Kluyveromyces lactis: one gene and its partner. The protein of the gene in region 2 interacts with the protein of the main gene of each other region in a pairwise test. Links are inferred from orthologs where the notes say so. Each region holds a gene or a part of one and is shown on either strand. Other genes may lie near its edges. The genes, in order: MET30 and MET4.

What was found.
Region 1: the proteins of MET4 (region 2) and MET30 interact in binary tests that used the Saccharomyces cerevisiae proteins (3 or more experiments, as listed by UniProt). The link is inferred for Kluyveromyces lactis from reciprocal best matches to the Saccharomyces cerevisiae genes MET4 and MET30.

Annotation. Positions count from the first base shown.
Region 1 is NC_006042.1:2,545,280-2,549,158, forward strand, and holds MET30 (ubiquitin-binding SDF ubiquitin ligase complex subunit MET30), read left to right. Parts: upstream 1-1,253; coding exon 1,254-3,125; downstream 3,126-3,879. Other genes in the region: HIS1 (ATP phosphoribosyltransferase), read left to right, coding at 1-132. UniProt on the Saccharomyces cerevisiae protein: Substrate-recognition component of the SCF(Met30) complex, an E3 ubiquitin ligase complex that mediates the ubiquitination and subsequent proteasomal degradation of target proteins. Negatively regulates sulfur amino acids biosynthesis genes expression.
Region 2 is NC_006039.1:1,125,366-1,129,297, reverse strand, and holds MET4 (Met4p), read right to left. Parts: upstream 2,560-3,932; coding exon 430-2,559; downstream 1-429. Other genes in the region: SNAP receptor VAM3, read left to right, coding at 1-278. UniProt on the Saccharomyces cerevisiae protein: Positive trans-acting factor capable of stimulating the transcription of the MET genes from the methionine biosynthetic pathway. MET4, MET28 and CBF1 are required for full induction of MET25 and MET16 gene transcription.

The DNA of each region.
Region 1 (3,879 bases), on a different chromosome or scaffold from region 2:
ATCAACGACAGTGGATGGGTAGCGGTTTCATCCATGATCGAAAGGAAAAACAAAGGTGATATTATGGATGACTTGAAAAAAAACGGTGCAGAAGATATCATGGTATTCGAAATTTCTAACTGTCGTGTCTAAAATGATTAGCACTTTTCCTCACCATAATTATATATATAAAATCTTATGCATGGGCACCTTATTGTATCCTTGTGTATAATGTAAGTTAATATAGATAAATTGATACAGCAAAAATTGTGACAATAGCAATATATTGCATGTTGTAGACAATATTTGAAGTCAGCATAGTAGGTATTTGACTCCTGCCTTTCAGCCCTGCATGATCGAACCAGTGTCCGTTCTTACTGATTGTCTTCGATTCTGTCTCTGTCGTTGTGGCAATTTTGATCACGTGAATGAACGAGAAAAATCCAGATAGCTTACCTCACCAGAGACACCGCTGGAAAGAACCAGAGATGAACACAGAAAAGCGCATAATGACCGAATGCACAGTAGCAGGTTACACTATACATATATAATGACTGATTTTCAAGGGAAAATGTGCCATGTTATATTCTTGGCTTTTAGTCAGATCAAAACATGGAATATCCTTGTAATAAGCCAGATAACCTGTAAAGTGTGGCTTACCTACCCTAGCAGTACAAACATATCTTTTTTTCCCATAAAGATAGTAAGAACGGATTTTAGCTAGTACTGAAATTTAGCGCAGAGAAAAAAAGTAAAAATATCGAAACTTAAACAAAACTCTTGACTGACAAAGGACTTCTTCAAAAGGAAAAACACTGCCAAAGTAAGACTTCTTAATCCTTAAAGGGGCGTCTCACTTCCCGATCTACCAATAGTTTGTTTGATTTATATAAAGCATCATATTTGTTGTATTAAGCGGTTTGGAAATTTTCAGAACAAACGAAAGATCAGCAGCGGAGAGAGCTCAGATAGGGAAGAACAACAAGTTTCGGTAAAGAAAGGTACTAGTGCTCATCATTGGTGGTGTTCTTATAGAATTTTCCTGTGAATCAAGGAAAGGAATTATATCCTTGTGGATAAGAGACATAAACGAAGGGTTTTGCAGTACTGCATCACTTTGATCACTGGTTCTGGTATATTTACAAAAGTTTGAGGAACAGAATAAACATTTTGGAAAGAGAACGCTAGGGAAGTTGTTTTGAGTCAATATACCCCATCATTTTATCTCATCAATATATTCAAATATACCATACGAGTTACGATCGTATTTCAAAATGGAGTTTAACCTTCAACAGACATGCAGACCGGATTTAAAGCGTAAGTTCGAAGATGTAGATTCGAATGGAGTGTCAGATCAACGACAGGATACTGATGGGAAGGGGGAAATTCTACGAAACAAAGCTTCCAAGGTCAATCAAAACAATGAGGAAATACAGCTTCCGAGTGAAATGCCTCAGTTCAATTTCTTTAAATTCTGCTACCGTCATAATCCAGATATTCAACACACTTGTAAGGATTCGATGGTTTTCCAAGATCAGGTACGGTCGGAGAAGTGGATGGAGAAAATGAAAGCTTTGGACAAGGAATCAGACCGAGCAATTATCAAACAAACGCTAGACAATTTCCAGCATAGCAATGATAAGATACGAAGATTAATGCTGGAAGGAATATTACAGCTTTGTTGTTTTCCCCAGCTATCTTATATTGCTGATGAGGTAAAACAATTGATTAAGATCGATTTCATTTCAACCTTACCAGAGGAACTTTCTTTGAAAATTTTAGGTTACCTTGACTGTCAGTCTCTTTGCATCGCCTCGCTAACATGTAAGAGGTGGAAAACACTAGCTGATGACGATAGGGTATGGTACCATATGTGCGAACAGCATATTGATAGAAAATGTCCAAACTGTGGATGGGGTCTACCCTTACTCCATATGAAGAGGGCAAGATACTTACCTGTAAATGAAGCACATGTCCATAATCAAAACGGCAATCAATTCCAAAATGTTGCAAACGGCAACGGGAATGAAATTGGAGGCGGAAAGTCACTAATCAATCCTGGCAACTCTCCCAACCAAACTGTTGCCGCTAGGGCTAGGAATAGCAGGTACTATACGAGACCCTGGAAAGTAATATATAGGGAACGGTTCCAAGTGGAATCCAATTGGAGAAATGGAAGATGTAGAATTCAGCTCTTCAAAGGCCATATGGATGGGGTATTGTCATTAAAGTTCAACCACAGACTGCTTTTCACTGGGTCATACGATTCAACGGTGGCTATATGGGACACAAAATCTGGTAATTTGATTAGAAGACTCACCGGGCACACGGATGGTGTGAAGGGTATTTATTTTGATGATCAGAAAATGATCACAGCTTCTTTAGACAAGACAATCAGAGTATGGAACTACATTACAGGGTCCTGTATATCAACTTATAGAGGCCACCAGGATTCTGTGCTATCGGTGGATTCATACAAAAAAATCATTGTGAGTGCTTCTGCTGATAAAACAGTTAAAGTGTGGCATGTTGAATCTAGGACTTGTTATACGTTGCGGGGCCATACGGAATGGGTCAACTGTGTTAAACTACATCCAAAAAGTTTCACTTGTTACAGTTCCAGTGACGACAAAACATTAAGAATGTGGGATATCCGTACTAATTCGTGTATTAAAGTTTTCAGAGGACATGTTGGTCAAGTGCAAAAAGTTATTCCATTAACGATCAAAGACACAGAAAATTTAGTGGTGGATGAAAAAATTGAAAAAGTACCCAACCCAGAGTTAGAAGAAGATTTTGCAGATGACTGTACAGGAATATTCGATCCGAATTTGAAATACCCTACACATTTGCTTTCATGTTCATTGGATAACACCATCAAACTCTGGGAAGTCAGTTCAGGTAGATGCATTAGAACTCAATTTGGACATGTTGAAGGTGTTTGGGATATCGCTGCTGATAACTTCAGAATTGTCAGTGGCTCTCACGATAAGAGCATCAAAGTTTGGGATCTTCAAAATGGTAAATGCATACAAACTTTTACAGGACACAAGGCTCCTATTGTATGTGTAGGAATTGGTGACAGTTCATTTGTTAGCGGAGACGAGCTGGGCGAAGTGAAAATGTGGCATTTTGATGATATTTGAGAGCCCTGTCGTAGAACCATTGGCATTGTTGCACCGATTACACTATAGCTAATGGTACAGAAGTGAAGGAACAATTGTGTTCAACATCTTCAAAACTAGCATAACTAAATACAAAAGTTTATATTGTAACTTATTTCTAGTCTCAACTGCTGCCTAAATACAGAGGCCACATAATGCCATTCTTTTTCGAACGAATACATTACTCAACGATCAGTTTCTGAAAGTTTTATCGTGCTCGGAACAATGTTTAAAATCAATGTACCTACCTGGCTTCATTAACCCCGAAACCATCAACGTTAAAAAGTCAAATGTCGAGCATGCGAAGTTGTGGAATTCGTCATTTAATTCGACCGTCGTATATGCGCGGAATCTAATTATAAGATCGCACCATAATGATTAAGATGATGAGCCTCGTTGAAACGTAACAGCGCACCGTTTTCTTCTTCGAAAGCCAAACTAACACATCTTCCATTTTTCATTGTCAACATGACCGTCTTTTGGTTTCCAGATTCTCACCAAACAGCTTAGAAAATATCGTAGTAGAGAAATGTGACTGGGAATCCTTGAAAAGAAAAGGAAAGGAAATAATAAGAAAAAAAGGGTTGTCACCATGAGCAGACGTTTTCATGCAAGGTATTAATGTTCCTCTGTTTTTAAGACTTCAATCATACATAAGTCGGGTGAGCCAGTGGTCGAACAGGTTTGTATTGGGTACTTGGTGTTTTATGACCTTCGAGTTAAGAATAAAAATAGT
Region 2 (3,932 bases):
TTCAACATGAAAGATCCCAGGACATATCAAAAATCCACTCTGCTGTGCAAGAGGTCAATGCCATCTTCAAACAACTAGGAAGTCTGGTACAGGAACAGGGCGAACAAGTTGACACAATTGGCGAAAATGTGACAGGATTATCTAATAATTTGCAAAAGGCGAACAAAGAACTTCACAAAGCAAATGAATATCAAAGGAAAAAGAACAGATGTGGTACAATACTTCTAGTAGCTATTGTTGTTATCACTCTAATAACTCTTATCGCGATTCTATCATAGGGTTAGATTCTACGAGGAATGTAACTATATATTAATACAAAATTTATCTCTGGCCTTATACTTGGATGAAAGTTACGTTACGTTTTAGAGAACACGCATCATCAGGTAAATATGTCCGACTTAGAGGTTACAACTAATTATTAATCATAGCTTACTTGTCAGTATCCTTTTTAGTGCTTTCGGAGGAGTTATTTTTGGATAGTTCATAAGACTCAACATTCTTGAGATCTCCACGTTCAATGACAAGATTTTTGAGAAGTCTGTTTTCCATTTCAAGGGTATTGATTCTTTGCTTCAAGTCACAAGCTAACTGTGAAAGATCTTGGACCCAAGTTTCCATTTCTTTCTCTTTAAGTTTTTTAGTTTGATCCAAGTTCGGCAGTTTGGGTCTTGAAGAAAGGGTTGAGGAAGTGGACGACGATTCTACACCATCACTGGAGGAATTGTTTTTATCAGAATCAGTATTATGCTTTTTTTCGTTTATCTTCTCATCGAGACTCTTAGCAGCATTTTCCTTGTCATTGAGAAGTTCTTCCGATTGTCTCACCTCTTCCTTCAATTTAGCAGACGTTACATCCTTCCTAAGAGAGGAAGCTGATTCTAGTTTCCTGACAACTGATTTTGGTGTTTTACTGATACCATCATCCAGTGTTTGCTTTGCAGAATTCTCTTCGCTTTCTTTCTTTATGTTGTTAGAAATTGAGCCGTGGTGCACTTTCGGTGAGTTTTTCATATATGTATCAATAACTCTAGACTCTTTTTCCACTGGAGTTTTTTTGGCTCTTTTTGGATTAGGTTTATGGACACTTGATTGAGGAGATGGCTCAGGTTTTTCATGCAAAAAATCCAATAGCATGCCAACGGAGCTTTGAATATGTTCTTGAGGTTCAGGAACCAGTTGATTTTGCGAATTCACATCTATCGATGAGCCCAGATGGGAAGCTGACGATGGTGGTCTATTTGTAGAGTGATTATTTAAATTAGTTGGCTTCCTCACAGGAGGATCAAACTTTTCTCTTTCTCTTTCATAATAAGCCATAATAGCAGCTATGGCGTCAATCTGTTCTGGTTTAAAGCCAACATTACGCAAAGACTGGTAAGCACCTCTGGGAACATTAATGATAGGCAACAATGATACCAAAGTCGCAGTTTGTATTGTAGAGTAGTCTGGCATCTGTATATTTGATTCAAATCCTGATGTTGCAGCCGTACTTGGACGATACGGATTTTCGTTGCTATTGACATGATTATTACCATGGTTACTAGCTGTGTTGACGATTGAAGAGGCAGACGATACAGTGGTATTGGACGGATATGACATTGAAGTTAAATCATATGCGGCTAATAAATTTGTTAGTGGGGAAGTGGCAAACGGCATATCTCGTTGGCGGTTTGCACTTGTGCCATTTAGGTTGCCTGTATTATGACTATTGGATTGGTCTTGAACATCAAAGTGTGTAAATCCTCCATGATCGGGGATCGGAGAATTCTGTGTCGATGACCTTTTCCTCGAAAACCGTTGCCGCGTATGATCATACTGGTTTCCCAGCAGGTTTGATTTTCTATCGAACAAGTTTCTCTTTTCCGAAGAGTTTCTGTTATTATTATTATTATTATTATTATTATTATTATTATTGTTATTATTACTATTATGATTGTTACCACTGTTATTATTATTGTTATTGTCGATGTTATTATCATTAGTACTAGGATTAGCATTGTTGTTCAATCCGAAGTTATGGTTGCTGTTGTAATGGTCGCCGTTGTCATCGCTATCATGTCTATCAGCTTTGTCTTCATCTGGGAAAATAAAAGTCTCATCTGCGAAAACACTCAATTCCGCCGCTAAACGTTCATCCATCGCGAGCTGATTATCTGCACTTAAACCACCAACTTGATGATTCAAGGGCATCCCACTAAATGAATTTACAGTGTCACCATGAGGTCCCTCATTGTTGTAAAAAGAATTTGTCACATTGGGTCCAAAGTCAGAGTTAAAATCAGTAATAAAATTATCAACAAACGCTAGTTGTTCCAAAAGAATGCTAGGGGTAACATCATTATTCACATCAGCAGGGGGGTTAATCAACGAATGTAAGTGATTCGATGCGGTAGATGGAGAATGTGTCGAGAATTCCGGACTGTTCCCCCAAATGTTGTCCATACCTTGACTGGGATGACTATCATTAGGATTTCGAATATGATTATCCATATTCCTTGCACCAACACCGCTACTGCTGCTACCAGTGCGCTTAAGATTATTGGAAGTTCCACTATTCATAGCGGAAAGAATGAGAGAAGCCGGCTCGATAAATAAAGATTCACTGTCGTTATTCCCTGGAACTAAGGCTCAAATTTGAATGTGGCCTTTCACTCGATGCTGTTGATATCAACAGTAGACGATGATTGAAAATACTTTAGTTTGTATTATTCTTCAGCTCAGGTCTCGTGCAATTTCATCAAAAGTCGGGAAAAAAATGAGGAAAGGGAAAAGAAGAAGAAAAAAGTAATCACCAAACTGTGGAACGTCTATTACCCGGACAAGAAAATTACCCGGATACAGACATTACATCAGCCACAGTACAAACTGCACGTGATACGAAGCACGTGATTTGTGTTCCCTCGTGTTGTTCGCTTTTTTCTTTTCTTGCTTTCCTCCGGTTTCTGCGATCACCCGCGGAAAAATGTTTATTTATCCATCAGTATTAGTGCCTACATTCTCATTTCTCGAGTCAGTAAGCAACCCCGCATTTTATTGCTGGAGTGTTACCGCGTAGATGCTCTCACACAGATAGAAAAGCTCGCTGATCTAAAGAATGATTATACATATCGTAAAGAGAAAAAACAGCACACTAGTGACAGTTTGAAAATCCAGCACAGCAAGTAAACACTCATCCGATGCTCTCCCTATACCTGATCTTTCAGTACTAATGCCGACCGCCGGTTGCCGATCGCCGTTTGATTATTGTGTTTTGCTTGAGGTCGTTACCTGCGTTTGCCAAGTCTTTTTCTTCCTTCAAGATAAGGAGCTTGTAATCTAATCTTCAGAGATGAAAATCTGATAGATAGCGTAAACTAGGGAATCGACAAGACCCCATCGCAAATTATCGAGGACAAGAACAGGAGGTGCGATAAATATCTCCCGACTGACCTATGCATATCAAAAAAACTTTCTTGTCTCCTACCAGTTTGCTCTTACTGTTTCGTGAAATACGGATTAAAGTTTCCTTTTCCATGTTTCTTTTCCATTTTCCTGTGCTTTTCTTTTTTTTACAAAAAACTGGAAAGGAAAAATGAAAAAGAAACATAGTGAGGGTAAATACGGGTTGGTACGGGAAAAGAGCAGCAGAGACACAATTCTATTAGCAGGATAAAACGGCTACGATATTGCGGCTAGTAAAACACAATTTGATCATCTGTGTAAGTAAGAGCTATTGCTCCTTGCATAGATTACCTTGTTGCTCTATCTCCGTTCCTTCCTATCACCTGAGAATTTCCCTCCGTAGTTTTCTCGGTACACAGTTTACATAGCTTAAAGTTAGGTGGGTGTGTGAAATTTAATTTCTTTTTCAGTGTTTTCACAAAAGGTTTAATGTGTAAATTCAAAATTTAAAGCCAGAGTAACTGCTTCCTGTTTACAGTTGTCTCATAAAC